Drosophila melanogaster: one gene and its partner. The protein of the gene in region 2 interacts with the protein of the main gene of each other region in a pairwise test. Each region holds a gene or a part of one and is shown on either strand. Other genes may lie near its edges. The genes, in order: woc and Nha2.

Evidence for each region.
Region 1: the proteins of Nha2 (region 2) and woc interact in a two-hybrid assay, tested with the Drosophila melanogaster proteins (one large-scale study listed by BioGRID).

Annotation. Positions count from the first base shown.
Region 1 is NT_033777.3:27,262,453-27,266,373, reverse strand, and holds the start of woc (without children), read left to right. Parts: upstream 1-2,318; 5' UTR 2,319-2,597; exon of another isoform or gene 2,598-2,639; intron 2,640-2,922; 5' UTR 2,923-2,981; coding exon 2,982-3,819; intron 3,820-3,886; coding exon 3,887-3,921. Other genes in the region: CG14260 (uncharacterized protein), read right to left, coding at 90-377, 426-887; CG14262 (uncharacterized protein), read left to right, coding at 968-1,645, 1,699-1,959.
Region 2 is NT_033777.3:22,996,647-23,000,567, reverse strand, and holds the start of Nha2 (Na[+]/H[+] hydrogen antiporter 2), read left to right. Parts: upstream 1-2,039; 5' UTR 2,040-2,387; coding exon 2,388-2,403; intron 2,404-2,782; exon of another isoform or gene 2,783-2,784; coding exon 2,785-3,054; exon of another isoform or gene 3,055-3,921. Other genes in the region: CG34375 (uncharacterized protein), read left to right, coding at 1-116.

The DNA of each region.
Region 1 (3,921 bases), 4.3 Mb from region 2:
TGTTTGTTTTTCGATCCCTAATCCAATAAATGATCCCTCTAGATATGTACACCATCCTGTCTATTTCCTTGGGTGGTAAGCAAACCTATCTATTCCTCCGGCGAAGGTTTTTCTTCTTCGGGCACAACTATGGTGCCATCCACTTCGAAGAGAACGTGACCGAACAACTGGGTTACCTCAACGAGCTGCTGGAACTGCTCCATGTCCTCGTAGCGCAGGTTGTTCACATCCTGGTAGTTCTTCAGCGAGGTCAGCAGTTCGTGATCGGAGAGATCTCCATCCTTTTTCAGGATTATCATCAGAGCCTTTAGCTCCTTAACACTCAGCTTGAGGAACGAGTTGTCCATGAGCACCTGCGTGGCTACGGGGAGGATTTTCTGGAATGGTATGGGGATTAAGCGAGATAAAAGTGCGGAAATTCATACTTTCGCCACGAGATCCATCAGTGCCGGATGGTGGTGCTCGCTGGCCAGGTGGAAGACCTGCAGAACCACCTCCATGGGCCACTCCTGGTGGGCCAGCTTGTCGATGTAGCAGTCGATGAAGTCCAGCATCTCGTAGCGCTCGGCCAGCAGCATGAGGTCACCGCACATGTCGATGGTCACCGCATTGCACACCTCGTACGTGTAGATGTAGAGGAGCAACGCCTCGTAGGCGGTGGGAGAGGCGTCGTCCACGCTGATCACTCGCTTGTTCTTCTGGAACTCGGGATCCCTGATCAGGCGCTCGAACTCCGCGGAGGCGGAGATGAGCATCACCTGGTGGCAGCGGAAAATGCATGGACAACGCTTGCCCTCCTTCAACTTGTCCGGTTGCGAGACATGGAGCTCGCAGTCCGACTTTTGGCCATTCCGCAACAGGTCCAGGCGGCGTAGCTTGCAGTTCATAGTGACTGGGGATTTTTTGGAGGCTTTGCTCTCACATAGCACAAAATTTGGAATTCGAAATTAGGGTTTCCCTGGCAGGAATGTCAGACTCTGAGAAGGAGGCCGCCGGCAAAGCCCACCTGGGAAGCAACAATCGGTGGTCCGACCTGGAGGAGGAGGAGGAGGGTGAGGCGAACGACCAGGGAGGGATCCAGAACTTGAGGCCGGAACTCGTTGTGCCCAGAACCACAGCTGCATCGGATGTTGAGGAGAATTTACCATTGGGTTCTCCGAGTGATGGGTCCAAACGCGCTACGAGTAGAAACCGCAGACTGGAATACTTTCGCAGTGGAGCCGATGCCGATTGCCAGGTGCACGTCCTGAGCAACTGCCCCCAATCCGATGAGCCGGCGGTCAGTGTGTGCTACAAGAAATTTGGCTGCCATCGGATCTTCCTGGCCACTGCCTCCGACAAACTGGAGCAGGACGTGTACCAGAACAAGGACTGGAACGGCGTACTCCAGATCAATGGGGTTTCGCCCGAGAGCGTGGAGATCTTCCTGGAGTTCATATACACCTTCGAGGTGACCTCGCCGCTGGTCCAGCTGAAGCTGGTGGGGGATATGTTCATCCTGTCCTGCGCGTACAACATGCCGGAGCTCCTTCGCTCCTTTGCTGAGAAACTAAAGGAGCAGGAATTGCCTCTGGATGGCATCTTTCCTGCCTTCGACCTAGCATTCCGGCATAACATCATCGATGTGGAGCGCGTTTGCATCGAGGTTAGTAGATTGGAATATAAAATGGAGCCTTAATTTAGTTAGTTATCCTTTAGAAAATCATAGAGGAAGGCGCATCATTGATCCACGAACCCAGTTTAATGAAACTCCCGGTCTATGCTCTAAACTACGCCATCCAGCACTGGCTGGTGGCGGATGCAGTGCCTCCCGATGAACTCATCACGATTTTAAAGCAGTATCAGGAGATCAATGAGATTACATTCGCCAACACGCAAAAATTCCCGCACTTCACCAAAATTATCAAGTATTTCCCCAATGTTCTTCTGGACGCCGAGGGATTCATCAATCAAAACTAGAAAACTACTTGGAATTCCCAAAAGCTTCGCGCATAAAACCCAAAAATTTAAAAAAAATAAGCCAATAAAATATCAGTTCTCATTAGCATTGTATTGGGTATCTTTTGCATATGGCAAACTGGAAGCTCATCTAAGGGGAAGCTTAGATGAAAGACAGTCTATATTTAAGTTGTAGTTTTCAATAATTTCCTATTGATCAAAAGCGATCCAAACTTTAGAAGCATTTTTCAAAAAGATAAACGAGCAGTGCTGCCAACCGGTTGCACCACTCACGCCGGTATTTTCTTATGCGCCATTTTCGGTATTTTCCGGCAGATACCAGCCAAGAAGCGAACGCGTTATGCGAGGGCCGCATTTGGTACACTAGTGCGCCATTTTACTCGCATAAAGCCGAAAATTCACACAGTGGCCAGAAAGCGAGAAATTGCACAGTGCAAAAAGGTGTTTGGTAATTGATGAAAAGTTTTGCGCGTACCGTGAACCGACCGTTAATGATGTGCCCGCACGCGCAGCGGTGAAAGGCAGTTAATTCGCCTGTGGAGACGCGCTCACCACAACAAACTCGTGCTGTCCGAAAAAAAAAGTCGGCGCTCGGATTGCGGATTATCGAAGTACCGTACGGCAAGGCAGCAAAAAAAGTACGGAAAAGCCGCCCATGCAACGCGGCCAAAAAAGATAATGCAAGTGCAGTAATATTAATTGCCTGGCAGAGCGGCGCATACAGACACACTCCTCCTTTTTTCCCCACTTTTTTTGTTCTCTGGAGGCGCATGTTTTGTTTTTTCGTGCACTGTACCGTGGGCTCAGTGTGTGTGTGTGTGCGTCGGTGTGCCTGTGCGTGTGTGTGTACACATTTTAGGCGGCAATGGTGTGGGGCCCTGGCCAGCCGATAGTCCGCCGCGCCGCGAATGTTATCGATAGACGAGCCCTAACCATTTGTTGTTTGTTTTCCTTTTGTTGCAGTTTTCATGTCTATATAAACAAACGTACAGCGAAAGTCGGTTAAAAAATCAAGCAGCGAAATGGAGGAGATATCCAGTTTGGACTCGTTCGGCGCCGATTCCAATGCGCGACCGGAGTCGGCCACCCCCAGGTCGGAGGAACAACAGGATCAGGATCGACAACAGACTGCTCCGGCGGCCAGTGAAACTCTGGATACGCCCGCCTCGCCGCCAGCGGAGGATGCAGCTGCGCAGGAAAGCAAACCGCCTCCTTCCAAGGAGGCGGATGACGACTTCGAACAGATCTCCGAGGGATCATTAGACGCCGATGATAACCAGTCGCGGGATAAGGCGGCTAGTACACCAGCTGATCCCGTGGATGCGGAGGAGCCCGCCGAGGAGCCAACGCCCAACGAGGAGCCGCAAGGCGGTGAGGATGAGCAGCCACAAACAGAAGCCGTGAGGGTAGATCCACAGGAAGAGCCCGAGGAGGCGGAGGAGGAGACTGATGCCCTCCAGGCCACTGCGGAAGAGGTGGAGGCAGCGGCCGCCGAAGCAGATGCTGTGGACGGCGGTCCCGCTTCACCCGAAGCAATGGATGTGGATGAAGGCGAGGTGGATGCAGAAGGTGAAGCTGAGCAGGAAGCAGAAGACGACGCAGCTCTGGATCGAGAGGCGACAGATGATGTAGATATGCAGTCCGTGGGCGCAGATTCACACCAGGCGGAGGATGCAGAGCCACCGGAGGGCCGAGATGAGGTGGACACAAGCTTAGAGGAGCAGGAAAATGGCCAAGATCCTGATGAACGGGAGAAAGATGCGGCCGCCGATGAAGATGATCCGGATGCAGAAGGAGATGCGGAATCGGAGCAGGTGGATGAAAATGCCGAGGAAACTGGTGAGGCCGAACATGGCGATGGTAAGTCTTAGTACTTCTTTGATGCATGTTTATAAAAGACTAAATGAATGAACTATTTACATTATAGACACAGTGGAAAATGTTTTGGAGCCAGAGGAATCA
Region 2 (3,921 bases):
TCCTGGGACCTGCTCACTCGCTCCGGTGCAGCTGGCCGGAGATTAGGGCATCCGGCCAGTTCCTCACCCTCCGCAATCTGGCTGCCAAGTGCGAGGTGACCATCAAAAGCAGGTAGACCCCATCATGCACCCAAGACTGGTCCCAAAACATAGGTATTCTAAGCTAATTAGCAGGTAGTAATCGTGTTTAAGAGCTTTGAGGCAAGTTTAAGAACTGATGGCTGCGAAAGCGGCGATAGAGCAAACCAAAATGCAATGAACATAAAATAAGAATAAAATGTGAAATGTATGCTTTGTAAATTATATTTGCATTTTTTCCATCGACCGCGTATTTATACGAAAAATGCAAAACGCAATTTGGAAATGTGTTTAATTTGCAATATTTTTAATTAATAAAAACATTTAGAAATGTGCTGGCCTGGCAGTTTGAAAGTCCTCGCCATTGAGTGTCCACGTTGAGCTCAACAACCTGCAGATGCTCTATAAGAGTAGCGAGCTAAATTAATGGTTTGTATGGTACTTTAATGAAAAACAAAATAAATCTTTCTGCGCCATATGCGATTCTTTTGGAATATCATGACCCATTTCAAGAGTATCTCCATTAGTCCTTGCATCCTTATGGCGGAATAATAACACCAATGTTTGTGCAAAAGAAATTGAAAAACTGAAAACTGAAAACTCAAAACAGAAAACTGAATACTGAAAACTGGTAACTAGCGCCTGTCTGTTTGCTGCCTCCTGATAATTGACTTGCATGCAAATTAATGTTTTTTGCATGTGGGCGTAAATTGCTGCCCTGTCTGACAAACAGTAAACACGGTCAATGCAGCGGCGAGTCATTTTCATCAACGCGCCGCTGCACTATACATAAATCTCTGCCCCATCGATGTTTACCATATTTAAGGAAAAAATTCCAATTTGATGCAACAAAAATCACGGCACTGTAACAACATGTGTGTGCGTGGCAAATAGAGCGAGAAAGTTGTATTATCCTTTTTGCAGCGCCCCGCACCTCACAATGTCCTGTTTTTTTTGAGCCATCATCATAGTCATCATCATCGTCGTCATAATGGCCATCTTATAGAGTGAGAGTGCAACTGCAACTCCATACAGTGCAAAAAAGTGTGTGTGCATAGTTAAAATAAATTAAATATTTTCGCAAACGACACTTTTTTTGCGCAACAACGTGTGGCACCTGATGAGGAGATGATCTGACTGGAGCACTGGATAATGGTGGTGACGTCACTGCGATTGGTTATCTTTGTCATGGGGCTGGTTTGTCCATCAGGTAAATTAAAAATATTCCAGCGAAGCAATTAAATTACAGCCACGGCGTGGGAGTGGCCACGGCGCCCAATATGATGAGCAACGTCAAAATGCAAATTGTCAGAAAAACAATTTGCAAGACAAGCGAAACTCTTTTTACTTCAAGGAAATATAATTGCTTTCCAAGCTCACAAAAATTAATAATTAATAATAAAAACAATATAAGGTAGTTTTTTTTTTAATACCATGTAAACGCAGCTGGCAAACTAAAGCGCCATCTATGGCACAGAATTGCCGCCCCAATGATAGAGCTCAAATGGGGCAGGTCGCGCACATTTCCCTAAAAAAAAGTGAAAGCGTTTAATCATTCCGACACTCACACATGGGAAATGCGCTATGATTAGAGGTCTATTAATAACGCGGCTATTCGGCGCCTTATCTAGTTCAGATAAATTATGATTACATGACAATTATTTATCAGCTAATTGGCTGCGCCTTAGAAAACTATGGGCATATTGAATCGCAGATAAACGAACCCCTTATAAATATGTAAGTGCTTCCAAACAGACCCCACCCCCACCCCTCATTTCACCCAACCCAGAAACCAACTCATTCCGCACTTTTCGCTCGACAGCAATGAAAACAGAAGGTTCGCCTTCCGCAGAGCTTGTTTGTTTGCCAATTAGTTTTAATCGAAGAGCGCTCGCTGGAGCTGCGCGAATCGGCAATTGCTTGTTTAAATGGCTTTTGCTTTTCTAATTAATGCGTTTGGCAAATATTTGCCAGTGCATGAGCTGTAATAAAAAGAAGCTCCAAGTGCTCAAGTTCCGGGGCTACTACACTATTTCATTCCGCCTTTCCGCCGGTCGTGTCGCGCGTGTTCCGTTCCCTGCATATACTATACTATATACTATATATCCACTCGATTCGCAGCTAACCAATCTCTTCAAACCGCGGCGTTTCTCTTTGGCACTCGTCAATTTTGAGCCAAGAATAGCCATTTGGACTACGTCATCGTACTGATTGCGTCAGCAGTTGTCGCTCTTTGGCATTATTTTCCGCGTTTTTTTCACTCAATCACTCAGTTTTGTTTTGTTCTCTGGATTTCGCCGACATTCGACATGAGCAGCGATTCCGGTAAGCGATTCTGGCAGCTTTCGATACTCACTTTCGGCGTTAATTTACGAGTTTATGGTTAATCAATTAAATGCCACTTTTTGCCCAAGTGCCAATAAATAAATCGTGTGCAAATATGTTCGGGCTTCCACAAGTCAAATTGTTGGGAAATTAACTCTTTTATTTATATACTTGGGACTGGAAAATAAGAATGGTAGAATGGAATTATCAATATTTTTTGTTTGATTAGCAACCCTTCGGCTTTATCTATCATGCGTAATTAAAAATGTTACCAAATAGCTTGAGTCAATTTTTTTTGTGGGAAAAAAGTATGAATATAAAGCGATTTTAATTTTAATATCATACAAATTAATTTATATATATATATATATTTTTTTTTAGATATATTGGATGTAGTGGCAGGCAGTGAGGGTCCACCCTTGCAAGCCTTTCGCAGCAGCAATCCCTTCGAGGACTCGTATCAAATGTCCTCCTGCCAGCAAGATTTCGAACGCGATCGTGATGCGAACTTGACTCCATTGCATATGCTGCGTCGAGCCAGCGAAACGGTGACCGCCAGCATCCTGGAGCCGGAAAAGGAGCACCTCCTTGGCGACAAGCCACAGGTGCCCCCTCGTGCCCATGGAAGCACCGCGCCAAGCGCCATCGAAGGTGAGTGATATGTTTAATTGCACCGCGTCGTCATGGGGAAATTCGAAAAATGCGGAACGAAAGTATTTGTTACGGAAATTCTTGCCTTTATGCAACCAGCTCCCCGGATCAGTGTGCACACAACCCGCAGACAGGACGGCAAAAAGGATGCTGAAGACAGAGACATCCAGTGGAACAGCTCCATGCCAACGCTTTGTTGGCCAGCCAAGCGAAGTGGCTCCGACAGCCAAGTGCACAATGCGTGCTCAGATATGCACATATGCACTTCAGCACATATACGAGTATTCATAGTTTGTTTATGCAAAGTTTTTGTTTCGCCGTCGAGATATCCTGGCAGAATCACAGCTTTTTCTCTCAACTGGCAGGAGCTGATTGAGGCATTTCGATTTTAAGTGAACCGCACAATCACATCTTGCACAAGATGGCGAAGGCGGGCGGGGGACACAGGGGCGTATACGTAATATTTCCGCATATTGACGACAGAGTGTCTGCGATTGACAGTCCAGTGCATCTACCGTCCCGGCTCAAACTCAAAGGCAGGCATTTCCTACACATTCCTTCTGATTTCTGGAAATATGCAAGGCTGTGCCCTGCTGGCCATGTGTGTGGACCACTTTCGTTGGCCGAGCTTTTTGTTTACGCTCCTCTGTTTTGGCAGGTGGCCCTTGCTGGTTTTTCGCCCACAGCCGAGTAGCTAGTATTTTTGAAACTCCCAGAGCAGCAATTGTTTTGCATCTGTTCAAATGCGGGTTTTCGCACCAGTCCATTGTACAACTTTTTGGGAGAATTGGGGAGAACTTCCCTTTGGGCCATCGCAATTGTGGCATTTTCACACGAATAATGAGCCAGTTTAGTTGCGCCCAAATG